Linked DNA regions of Arabidopsis thaliana. The protein of the gene in region 1 purifies or fractionates together with the protein of each later gene. This does not show direct contact. Each region holds a gene or a part of one and is shown on either strand. Other genes may lie near its edges. The genes, in order: ACD6 and UBQ8.

Region 1 (7,651 bases):
TTGTTCTCTTTCAAAATAAAAATAAAAAGCTAGATATGATGGTCTCTCTGAGAAGCGGTATCTTGGTAGCTTTAACTGATAGCTCAACTCACTCAATCCGTAGTCATCGAACACCGACTTCACAAGCTTGTCGTGCGTTATTTCCGTATCTATTTGCACAACTCTACACCATTTATCGACGGTGTTAAATACAAATTCTTTACCCAATCGTATCGAGAGAAGGATGAAAGAAGAATGAGGAAGACGGTGATGAATTGGAAATTCCGATGATGTGAAAAACTCATGTGAAGAAGACGAGTTGAAAAAAAAAACGTTTCGTATTTCCTTTGATGATGATGACATGGACTGTTGCATCCGACATCATTTTTTTAATTGATGAAGTGACAAGTAAGCCACCAAACAAACATGAAAATTTGCCTAAATAAATCAGCCAAATAAAGTTATATGTTAGTCGCAACATGAATACTATTACAGTAATTAAAAACGAAAAAACGGCAAGTTACTTCAGCCGTTTAGCAAACAAAATAAAACACACACACATGATTCGATTGCTAACCAACACAAGAAACAAAACAAACACATCTTTGCCTATAAGATAATGTGTATAAACCATACAACTAGTGATGTGACGGAGGACAATGAGAAGACTATTTCATTATGCTGAACCGTCCTTGACGTCTTAGCAGTTAGCACTGTAAAATGGGTTCATATCATAGTAAACGAATCACTCTACACAACAATTACATGCTAAAAACTAAGAAGCTAAGTTACCAAATTCTCTATAGAAATAGCAATCACTTACAATAACCAATGCTACATAACAACTTTTGAGTCCATAACTGATAAATTGATAGAAACTGTTTGAATTTGCAAACCCAAAACCGTTTCTTAGGATGGAGAAATGGGTTTGTATTTTTCTATTTCCGATCAAGGAAAAATATATCAGGCAACAACTGCGGAAGATAGGGCATTTTGGGATGAAGGAGGAAACCATAGTTAACAAGCGGAAACAATTTCAAAGGTTGATTTCAAAGATCATAAAGTCAAAGTCAAATCCCCATAGAGAGACTCGGTTACGGAAGTGTTGGTATCCGAATATCCGATAGTCATAGCCTCAGAACTTATGTTAGAATCAATAGGTTTAACCATGCAGTGTGCACTTTGGAAATCAAGCCAAGAAAAGCTATCCACGCAAACAATTTGCGTTAGAGCGAAATCGGATAAAGAGAAAGAAAATATAGGATTTAAAAATCTTATAGCGAGTAAGACTTATTTGAAACATCGTCAAATTTACTTCTTTTGGTGTATATTTCTCATTATATGGCGTATATATCTGTTTATGTAAGAAATTGTTTCCAAAAATTACTGTATACTGACTTTGTAATCTTGTTTTGATATCAATGAATTTATAAGGAAAAAAATAAAATAAAAATATAAAGTATGATGTACATGTAAAAAAAGTTGTTTCAAGCGTAATTGTTTTTTGGCTAGAGAATGAATATACAGCAACAGTAAACTAATAAACTTGCGATGAACTAAAATTTCTGGTATTCCTACAATCAATGAATCACTAATTTATCTATAAGTTTTAGCTATATCCGCTTAAACCCCGCCTCAACTTGCTCTCTGGTCTGGGTATAGTTGGGCTACAACAGTGAAACCGTAATTAGGAAAGAAATGATAAAAACCCAATCCAGAAGCTTACTGCAAGATAAAGAGAAAGATCATGAAGAGGTAGGAGTGATTCATATAACAAACAGGGTCACGTTGTCACTTTCTCCCAGAAAAATACAAATTTAGACTAACTATATAAGGAGACGACTTCAGAGTCTTCTAATGGGTTAGTATAACTCGGGTCATCTTTTAATCTCTGGCTTTAAAGACATGGTAAGATTCCATATATATGAAAACTCTGTGTGTGGTGGATTGCTTTTTTCATTTAAGGCAAAGATAGGTTTTAAGGCAGAAGACAAGAACGACCTTTGGCTTATTTATAGGAGACCACCACTTTCACTTGAGTCGAGACAGTAACGACATTTAGAATTTGCATTACTCATCTTGTCACTTTCTCCCAGGAAAAAAAAATACAAATTTAGACCAACTATATTAGGAGACGACTTCAAAGTCTTCTAATGAGTTAGTAACTGGGGTCATCTTTTAATCGCCGGCTTTCAAGACATGTACAATTTCATATGAAAACTCTGTGTGTGGTGGATTGCATCCAAGACAGTTTTAAGACAGAAGATAAGAACGGCCTTTGCTTATTTATAGGAGACCACCACTCCTCTCGATAACCATGACTCGAGACATTAACGACTTTTAAAACTAAGGGACGAACCTTAAGCAAAAGCTCTTGCATTACTCAAATTCTTCTGCCACTTGGTAAGTCTTTTTCTCTGCCCCTTCTGCATGCAATGGTTGACTTTTTTGTTTGTGGACGTGGTAGTAACTAGTAAACTTAAATCTGTGTTTTCACTTTTCAAACCATTTGTGTGATTATTTTAGGTTTGCGATGGACAGTTCTGGAGCAGATCTAGATAGAATTGAGGCACAAAGGTCAATGTTAGTTTCTCATGATCAACGGAAAGGTACATGAGTCATAGGGTGGCCACAAATTTTGAATATTCATTACATGTGCTTTATTAACGAGTATAGTGACCCTATATAAATTATTATTGACACCTATGCAAAACCAACCAATCTACATAAAAAAGATAAGGAAAAACTATTCTACTTGATTCTTGTTATAAACTAGGATATAACACTAGGATATAACTAGCAATATACCACATAACAATTATATTGTTTTATAAAAATTTAATAAAATTAGTCTTATTCAACATGTCTTTTATTAACAAAATAATTAATAAAAATATAACCCATATGAATTACCGGTTAATAATATTTTAACTTTTTATTAATATCGATTCAAACCTGTTTCACCATATAACATGTCTCACAATATAACTTGTCCTATATTATTTTAAATTGTTTATATGTTTAAATATATTTATAATATTTTAAACTTTTTAATTGAATTTGGATTTATTAATTATAATATTATAACTTAAAAAATTTACTATATCAGGTAAACTTAAACATTTCAACTATAAAAAAAACCGTATAGAAACTTTGTAAATTTGGATATTTACTAAGTTAAATTTCATGTTCATTAAGATTCGAATTCATTTTTTATCTTATTTTTTTTATGGCTCTGAACGATTGTCTAAATATTTTAGCTGATGTTGGATGTTGAACTCAATTTATTTTCTATTAATTGAGTAATATATGTTCGTTTTAAACAATTGGAATCACAAGAATACAGACAAATTAAACTTTTTATGTCTTATATGATGATTCAAAATAATTAAAAAATAAATCTTAATGATAGGAGAATCATTCTTTTAAATTTTATGATTTTTTTATTTTATAATTGATGTTAAAATCTTTTAATTGTAAAGTTGTTTGGTTATAACTTATAAGTAATGACATTCTTTGTAAATACTAACTGAAAACAAAGTTACTCTCTAAAATGTAATTCAAAAATATTAATATAGATAGTTAAGAACTAATAAATGTCACTATCCAAGATTTATATAATTTAGTAAAAAATCTACATAATTTTTTTTTAACAAAACGCGCAAGTGTTTATGTTCTTTTCTCTTATGAGTCTTCAACTTGACAAATCTCGATTAGTTAAAATTTAGATTAATTTTGAATTGACTATTAGATAAAGATATTTATGATTTCATTAACTTATTATATTCTGATATTTACAAATTTATATTTTAGATTTTTCATAAGTTAATTGATTTCATAGTTAGAACTCACAAATTTTGTCTCATGAAATGTAAGACGAGTGGTTAATTCGATTGATGAAATAAAACAGTAGAAATATTTTGGCAAAAAGAAAACAATCGTAAGTGATACAAAATAGTTAGAAGTGATAAAAATTAGCGATAAGAGAGCTGTAAAACTTTCGATATATCTACATAAGATACTAACTACTATACTAGTAAATAACTATTTTGACCCTGGTAACAAATTGTTTTACCAGATTTCTCTCACAGCGGAGGAGTTGGCACCACGTCACCTACGGGCGACACCGAACCTGTGCCAAAGTTCCGTACTAACCTTAAATTGTCGGATCTTTTCGCTCTCCCTGGTGAAGATGTCGAGATGACTCCGGAGATTTTTGGTGGAATGAGTAATGGGGAAAAAGAATGTCTGGAGAAGTTGAGAAGCAATGGAACGCCAATGGAACGTGTCAAGAGCAATACAGGAGATTCAATTCTTCATATTGCTGCTAAATGGGGTCATCTGGAACTAGTGAAGGAGATTATCTTTGAATGTCCATGCCTTCTATTCGAGCAAAACTCAAGCCGTCAGACACCGCTACATGTGGCTACTCATGGCGGTCATACCAAAGTTGTTGAGGCTCTTGTTGCATCGGTAACATCTGCTTTAGCTAGTCTGAGTACTGAAGAGAGTGAGGGACTGAATCCACATGTTCTTAAGGACGAAGATGGAAATACTGCTCTGTACTACGCCATTGAAGGACGCTATTTGGAGATGGCTACCTGTCTGGTGAACGCGGACAAGGATGCTCCTTTTCTTGGAAATAACAAGGGAATATCTTCCTTGTACGAAGCCGTAGACGCTGGAAATAAATTTGAAGACCTTGTGAAAGCAATTTTGAAAACCACAGACGACAACGTGGACCGTGAAGTGAGGAAGTTTAACTTAGATTCGAAATTACAAGGGAACAAACATCTTGCACATGTTGCTTTGAAGGCCAAAAGTATAGGTTTGTTTTTTGTTTTCTTTAATAATCAGTAACAGCTACGTTTAATCTGTTAAAATTATGTAAAACCAGCTTGGGACGAGAATCTCCTCCCCAAGATGGCTAATTGTTGTTCCCAATTGTTTGAGTAGGTGTCCTTGATGTTATTCTTGATGAATATCCAAGTCTTATGGACGAGCAAGATGAAGATGGTAGGACTTGTCTTTCATACGGAGCATCCATTGGGTATTATAAAGGACTATGCAACATCTTAAACCGATCAACAAAGGGTGTTTATGTCTGCGACCAAGATGGTTCTTTTCCAATTCATTCGGCTGCAAAAAACGAACATTACGAAATTATTAAAGAGTTTATAAAACGTTGTCCAGCTTCAAAATACCTTCTTAACAGACTTGGTCAGAACATTCTCCACGTGGCGGCAAAAAATGAGGCCTCTCTTACTGCATATATGTTGATGCATGATAAAGATACGAAACATCTGGGTGTTGGGCAAGATGTGGACGGGAATACACCTTTGCACCTTGCCGTCATGAACTGGGACTTTGACTCCATTACTTGTCTTGCTAGCCGTAACCACGAGATACTGAAATTACGAAACAAAAGCGGCTTAAGAGCTAGGGATATTGCCGAGTCAGAGGTGAAACCCAACTACATCTTTCATGAGGTATTTCTGATTCCGTTTCATACAACACATTTGATCCCTCATAAATGATTTATAGCTTGACCTCCATATTTTTGGAATTACAGAGGTGGACACTGGCGCTCTTATTATACGCTATTCACTCAAGTGGTTTCGAATCTGTTAAGTCATTAACAATACAGTCAGTGCCACTAGACCCTAAGAAAAACAGACATTACGTCAACGCTCTTCTCGTGGTAGCGGCTCTTGTAGCCACAGTGACGTTTGCTGCAGGCTTTACAATACCAGGTGGTTATATCAGCGATAGCAAAAAACCAAACTTGGGCAGGGCAACTTTGGCCACTAACCCAACTCTCTTCATTTTTCTGCTTTTTGACATCTTGGCAATGCAAAGTTCTGTTGCAACAATATGTACTCTTATTTGGGCGCAGTTGGGTGATCTAGCACTCATCCTCAAATCCTTACATGTGGCCTTGCCCTTACTACTTTTTTCATTACTATGCATGCCCGTAGCATTCCTTTTTGGCGTGATCACTGCAATTGCCCATGTGAAATGGCTTTTAGTCACCATTAGCATTATATCTGGTGGATTCTTCCTTTTCGCAATCTTTATCCTTGGCCCTCACGTCATGCTACAGCGCTCACACCTTCCGCCCAGTTCTGGTATATTTCTCAAGACTTTTATGCTGACTATAGACATATCTGAGTTGTTTGTGATTTTGATCAAAGCTTGTTTTGGTTGTGTGGCGTGTTCCGAATAAATCATCAAAAGTTTATAGATCAAAGGATATTTTTCTTCTCTTTTTTTTTTCTTTCAAAAAGCTACGAGATATGCTGGTCTCTAGCTCTGAGAAGCGGCATCTTGATCATACAACTCATTCGAAGTCCTATCAGAATTATCTGTAGTTGTAATAAAGCGTGAAAAGTATATCATTCGAAGAGATTTTCCTCTAAAATAATCGAGTGATATTTTATTATTCGGTTTAGTGGATACCAGTTTACTAATCTCTCGAATTTATGAACCACATTCAAAGGAGATGAGTTTAACAAAAAAAAAAGGTAAATTGTTTTTTATTCTCGTCGTGCGTTCCACATGAGTCGTTTTCAAGAGCAATATAGACGATACTTCACAAGAATTATTATTTTTGTTGGGGTATAAAAATTTGAAGATACGTTTGGCAACGACAATACGACGTTAGATTGTTCCAAGAGGTGCAAAAACTTAGGGACCCTCTTTATTCGTTCACTGTAACCACTGACCACAACATGACTAGGTAGACTCTTCTTTTTGTCAATGTTGATGTTTATACGATTTTGATGAGACTGGCTCTATCAAGATATGAATCTCTGATCATATCTCCACTAATCTTTCATCTTGTTATTCCCTCATTTACTTTTGATTTCCTTCTCTCTCTCTCTTTTTTATGTATACAAATTTTTCTTTATTTCGCTTCACTAAACCCCACCATGTAATTGTGTGAGTTTTGGCGAAGTGGCGCAACACCGTAGAGCACACCAACACTAACCCAATCCATTTTATGACCGTAAATTTTGTTGTTGATTAGTGTATTTTTTTCTTGTTTAGTTATTCTGAGAAGTAAATTTTTTTTTTACAATTAGTTTTTAAACATAGTAAAATAAATTTATGACAGATTATAATATTATTTTAAAAATCAATAATATCTAACAAATTAAATAAACAAATCACAAATTACTATATTTTAAATAAATATTGATAATTTTAATTATATTATTTTGTTTATTGGTTAACTCGCAGGATATGCGAGTTAATTCATTTGAGATTGTAATCCGCCATATACTAACTCGATAACCCTGACTTTTTAGAAATCTAAAAGTATAACCCTATAATAAAATAGATTATGTCCAACTCGCGGATTCTAAACCTGAATTGACATGGCGGAACCATTCATAAAACCATACCAATTCTTGCGTTTTGGAAAGTTGGTTTCCTTTTCATTTCTTTGAATTTGATCCTAGATTGTGTAGTTCTCAAGCTCATGCTCTTGCTCGTCAAAAACGTATCAACGATTTGCTTTTCCTTTAGACGTTCTTGCATCGGATTGGTTTACTCAACTCCACTCGATGAAAAAGTTACTATCTTAAAAAGAACAAATGCAAATTCAATAAAATTCCCCAATATCTACGCATGAAAATATGATTCTGTCTTTTTTTTGTTTGTCTATCTT
Region 2 (4,710 bases), on another chromosome or scaffold:
TCGAAAGTTTTTGACTCAGATACTACTTGGTTTTGTTTTTGTCACTGTTTCAGGTACATCTCAAGTCTTACAACAATGTCTCCTGTAAGTACATATGCATTATATGATTGTATTTCGTATTCTGTTAGAATGTGTGTATGTTGCCGCAATCATACAGCTTTGTAGGAGTTTTACTCTTTTTTTGGACTGGAACTTAATTACTGACTTTCCAATGTACATTGAATAGGATTCTTGTCCTTTGGTAAAGAAGATTCTTCTTCTAGACTCTGAAGGAAAGCGTGTGGCTGTCAAGTATTACTCGGATGACTGGCCAACTAATGCCGCCAAGTTAAGTTTTGAGAAGTATGTATTCTCAAAGACCTCTAAGACCAATGCTCGTACAGAAGGTAAGACTACATAACATTTTTCATCTACACAATTTCTATCATGTTTCCTGACTTCGTGTATGCTTATATACTTATCTCTTTCAAATAGCCATATCGATGTTTTATGTGCAGCTGAGATCACACTGTTGGACAGCAATATTATTGTCTATAAGTTTGCCCAGGACCTTCACTTCTTTGTTACTGGAGGTGAAAATGAAAACGAGCTCATCTTAGCTTCTGTTCTTCAAGGCTTTTTTGATGCTGTTGCACTTCTTCTGAGGTATTTGTTTGACTTGACAACTGAATATGCCTTTATTTATTGATCAACCATCTCCACAACTAAAGTATGATGCATCCCTTTTTTTTTTTACCAGGAGCAATGTGGAAAAGATGGAAGCCCTTGAGAACTTGGATCTCATCTTTCTATGCCTTGATGAAATGGTCGATCAAGGGTATGCAAGTTTAATAGTTTAGCCCTACACGACAATTACATAAAAGTCTTAAGCATGCTAAAGATTTGCTCAACCTTTTTTAAGCTTGTCCCATATATCTTAGCAGTTAGCTATTGTCTGATTGTGGCTTATTATGGAATATGTGTTAAGGGTGGTTCTTGAAACGGATCCAAACGTCATTGCGGGGAAAGTAGCAATGCAGAGCACAGAAGCTAGTGGTTCACTCTCTGAACAGGTAACGACACTTTTGACTATTATTGTTACATCTCCCTGTGGAAAAGCAATAGTCTTGATTTAGTTTTGCTATAACTTTGGTCTGGTTTGGCTATAAACACAAACGTGAACTTCTAATTTGAACCCTCTGTTTACATTTCGGTATTGCAGACACTAACACAAGCGCTAGCAACAGCTCGGGAGCATCTGGCAAGAAGTCTGCTTACATGAGTTCCATCATGGCGACACAATAATAGAAGCATGGACTTCAATTTCTATGTTGAGCAACTTTTTATTTTTGAGTCTTTCGGTTTGAAAGTCTCTAATAATTGAATTCTGCAAACAAACTCTTAAAGTTTGGTAGTAAAGGTTTGATTATATATATAGCTTTGTGCAATGCATGAATGTTTTTGGAGAGTGGAATTTTATTACTCTAATTGAAGTCTAAACTCTAAGCAATTCAGGAATATTTCATTTTCCAAGCGATTTCAGATGCTAGTGATCTTGTAAGGTGAAGAAAGACTAAAGTGCCACCCCTCAGAACCTTCTATTTTGAGGTGCACGCCATATCAGAAGAGCAAGAATTGTTTTGGTTCGTATTTTATAAAAATAATCAAAGCAAGAATTGTTTTGGTTCGCATTTTATAAAAAAATCAAAGCGATAAACAAGATAATACTAAATTTCGAATTATTTAATTAACAGATTAAGTCGAATATTTTATAATTATCGAAAGCTGATTTAAATCCAAAACTTTTCCTCTTCTATATAAACTGAGAAACGCTTTTACTCAAACCCTAAATCGATCGTTCTGCAAAAGTTTTCTGTGAAGTACTACTACTCTCTCTCAAGGTATTTGTTTCTTCTATCTCTTCTCATCATCTTTTTTCGCCTGATCTTTTTGGTTCTTACCATTCAGAATCCTCCTTTCTCTCCCATAAAAAAAATTGTTTACAGATGACAATTCAAATCTACGCAAAGACTCTTACAGAAAAGACCATAACACTTGATGTTGAAACCTCCGACTCCATTCATAATGTCAAGGCTAAGATCCAGAACAAGGAAGGCATTCCTTTAGACCAGCAACGACTTATCTTTGCTGGTAAACAGCTCGAGGATGGCCTTACCTTGGCTGATTACAACATCCAGAAAGAGTCAACTCTCCACTTGGTTCTGAGGTTGAGAGGTGGTATGCAAATCTTTGTGCAGACTCTTACGGGAAAGACCATAACCCTTGAGGTCAAAAGCTCAGACACTATCGATAACGTCAAGGCCAAGATCCAAGATAAAGAAGGAATCCTTCCTCGCCAGCAGAGACTTATCTTTGCAGGTAAGCAACTCGAGGATGGTCGTACTCTTGCCGATTACAACATCCAGAAAGAGTCAACACTGCATCTTGTCCTTCGTCTTTGCGGTGGTATGCAGATATTTGTGAGTACCTTTTCCGGTAAAAACTTTACCAGTGACACCCTCACCCTAAAAGTTGAGAGCTCAGACACCATTGAAAATGTCAAGGCGAAGATTCAAGACAGGGAAGGTTTACGCCCGGACCACCAGAGGCTTATCTTTCACGGTGAAGAGCTCTTCACCGAGGATAATCGTACTCTTGCGGATTACGGCATCCGGAATAGGTCAACCCTTTGCCTTGCCCTTCGTCTTCGCGGTGATATGTATATATTTGTGAAAAACCTTCCTTATAATTCCTTTACCGGTGAAAACTTCATCCTAGAAGTTGAGAGCTCAGACACCATTGACAATGTTAAAGCTAAGCTCCAAGACAAGGAAAGAATTCCTATGGACCTACATAGACTTATCTTTGCTGGTAAACCGCTTGAGGGTGGTCGAACCCTAGCACATTACAACATCCAGAAAGGATCAACTCTGTATCTGGTGACTAGATTCCGTTGTGGGATGCAGATTTTCGTCAAGACCCTTACCAGAAAGAGAATAAATTTGGAAGTTGAGAGCTGGGACACAATCGAAAATGTAAAGGCCATGGTTCAGGATAAAGAAGGGATCCAACCACAACCAAACCTGCAGAGGCTGATCTTTCTTGGTAAAGAGCTCAAGGATGGTTGTACTCTTGCGGATTACAGCATCCAGAAAGAGTCAACACTTCACCTTGTCCTTGGTATGCAGATATTTGTGAAACTCTTTGGCGGTAAAATCATTACCCTAGAAGTTTTGAGCTCAGACACCATTAAAAGTGTTAAAGCTAAGATTCAAGACAAGGTAGGTTCACCCCCGGACCAGCAGATACTGCTTTTTCGCGGTGGCCAACTCCAGGATGGCCGTACTCTTGGGGATTACAACATCCGGAATGAGTCAACCCTTCACCTTTTCTTTCATATTCGCCATGGTATGCAGATATTCGTCAAGACATTTTCATTTTCCGGTGAAACCCCTACCTGTAAAACCATTACTCTAGAAGTTGAGAGCTCAGACACCATTGATAATGTAAAAGTTAAGATCCAACACAAGGTAGGAATTCCTCTGGACAGACAGAGACTTATCTTTGGTGGTAGAGTGCTTGTGGGTAGTCGAACGCTACTAGATTACAACATCCAGAAAGGATCAACTATCCATCAGCTATTTCTTCAGAGAGGTGGTATGCAGATTTTTATCAAGACTCTTACCGGAAAAACCATAATTTTGGAAGTTGAAAGCTCAGACACGATCGCCAATGTAAAGGAAAAGATCCAAGTTAAGGAAGGAATCAAACCAGACCAACAGATGCTAATATTTTTCGGACAACAGCTTGAAGATGGCGTCACTTTAGGGGATTACGATATTCATAAAAAGTCAACTCTTTACCTTGTTCTCCGTCTCCGTCAGCGTCGATATGACTTTTGAGTTTTTTTTAGCGCTTTGGTTTGTTTTTTTCTCTCGTTATGTTTTACGTTTTGATGGGCTCATAAATGGTCTTTTACCATTCAACTTTAAAGTCTTATCAATAATAATTTTCTTATTTTTTTATTCCGCAGTGTAAATCTCAATTACCATCGGATTAATCCTGATAATGCACAATATTGTTATCGAAGAAGCAAGAGCTAATGTTTAATTCATTTAGTCGGCTAGTTCTTTTTTTTCTTTTAGTTGGCTAGTTCTTAGTATTACAAACTCTTGGATAAAGTTTATAGTATACACCCAAACACATTTAAGAAGCAAATTATTGAAGTAAAACATTTTAAGATTAGAAAAAGGATCTAACATTGCGTTTATAGCACCGATGCATGTTTTTTGGAATTATATGCACCAAAAACGCCGAACTTATAACCCCACACATCATTTCCTCAATAATTTAAAATTTCATGAAAAATTATGAATTATTGACTCCTATCTTACTTCTATTTTGTTACCTACTATATTATCCATTTCATATATGTTGACAAGTTGACAATGACGGTGAGCTCCACAACAACCAAACAAAAAAGTTTTTCTTTTGTTTTAAAGCTCCAAAAAACTGACATGAAATCACTGGGATTAGATCTTATTGTCTCCCATTAAGGCAAATTTCATTAGATTTTCCCTTTTTGGAAATAATTTTCTTTTCGATTTATCAACTATAGTATATACCTTTTTTTACCCCCAAAAACCCAGGGATTATATATACGTAAATTATTTACATGCATGAATATGAATAGATACAGTAAATTAGTTGTTCAATAAAATATTTAAACTT

The links.
Region 2: the proteins of ACD6 (region 1) and UBQ8 purify together in Arabidopsis thaliana (affinity purification with western blotting, with the first as the bait; one study listed by BioGRID). This does not show direct contact.

The regions. Positions count from the first base shown.
Region 1 is NC_003075.7:8,292,156-8,299,806, forward strand, and holds ACD6 (ankyrin repeat family protein), read left to right. Parts: upstream 1-2,009; 5' UTR 2,010-2,382; intron 2,383-2,505; 5' UTR 2,506-2,512; coding exon 2,513-2,588; intron 2,589-4,057; coding exon 4,058-4,807; intron 4,808-4,935; coding exon 4,936-5,468; intron 5,469-5,551; coding exon 5,552-6,205; 3' UTR 6,206-7,040; downstream 7,041-7,651.
Region 2 is NC_003074.8:3,003,282-3,007,991, reverse strand, and holds UBQ8 (ubiquitin 8), read left to right. Parts: upstream 1-1,741; 5' UTR 1,742-1,985; coding exon 1,986-3,881; 3' UTR 3,882-4,130; downstream 4,131-4,710. Other genes in the region: AT3G09800 (SNARE-like superfamily protein), read left to right, coding at 54-84, 227-386, 498-645, 740-817, 968-1,052, 1,202-1,261. UniProt on the Arabidopsis thaliana protein: Ubiquitin exists either covalently attached to another protein, or free (unanchored).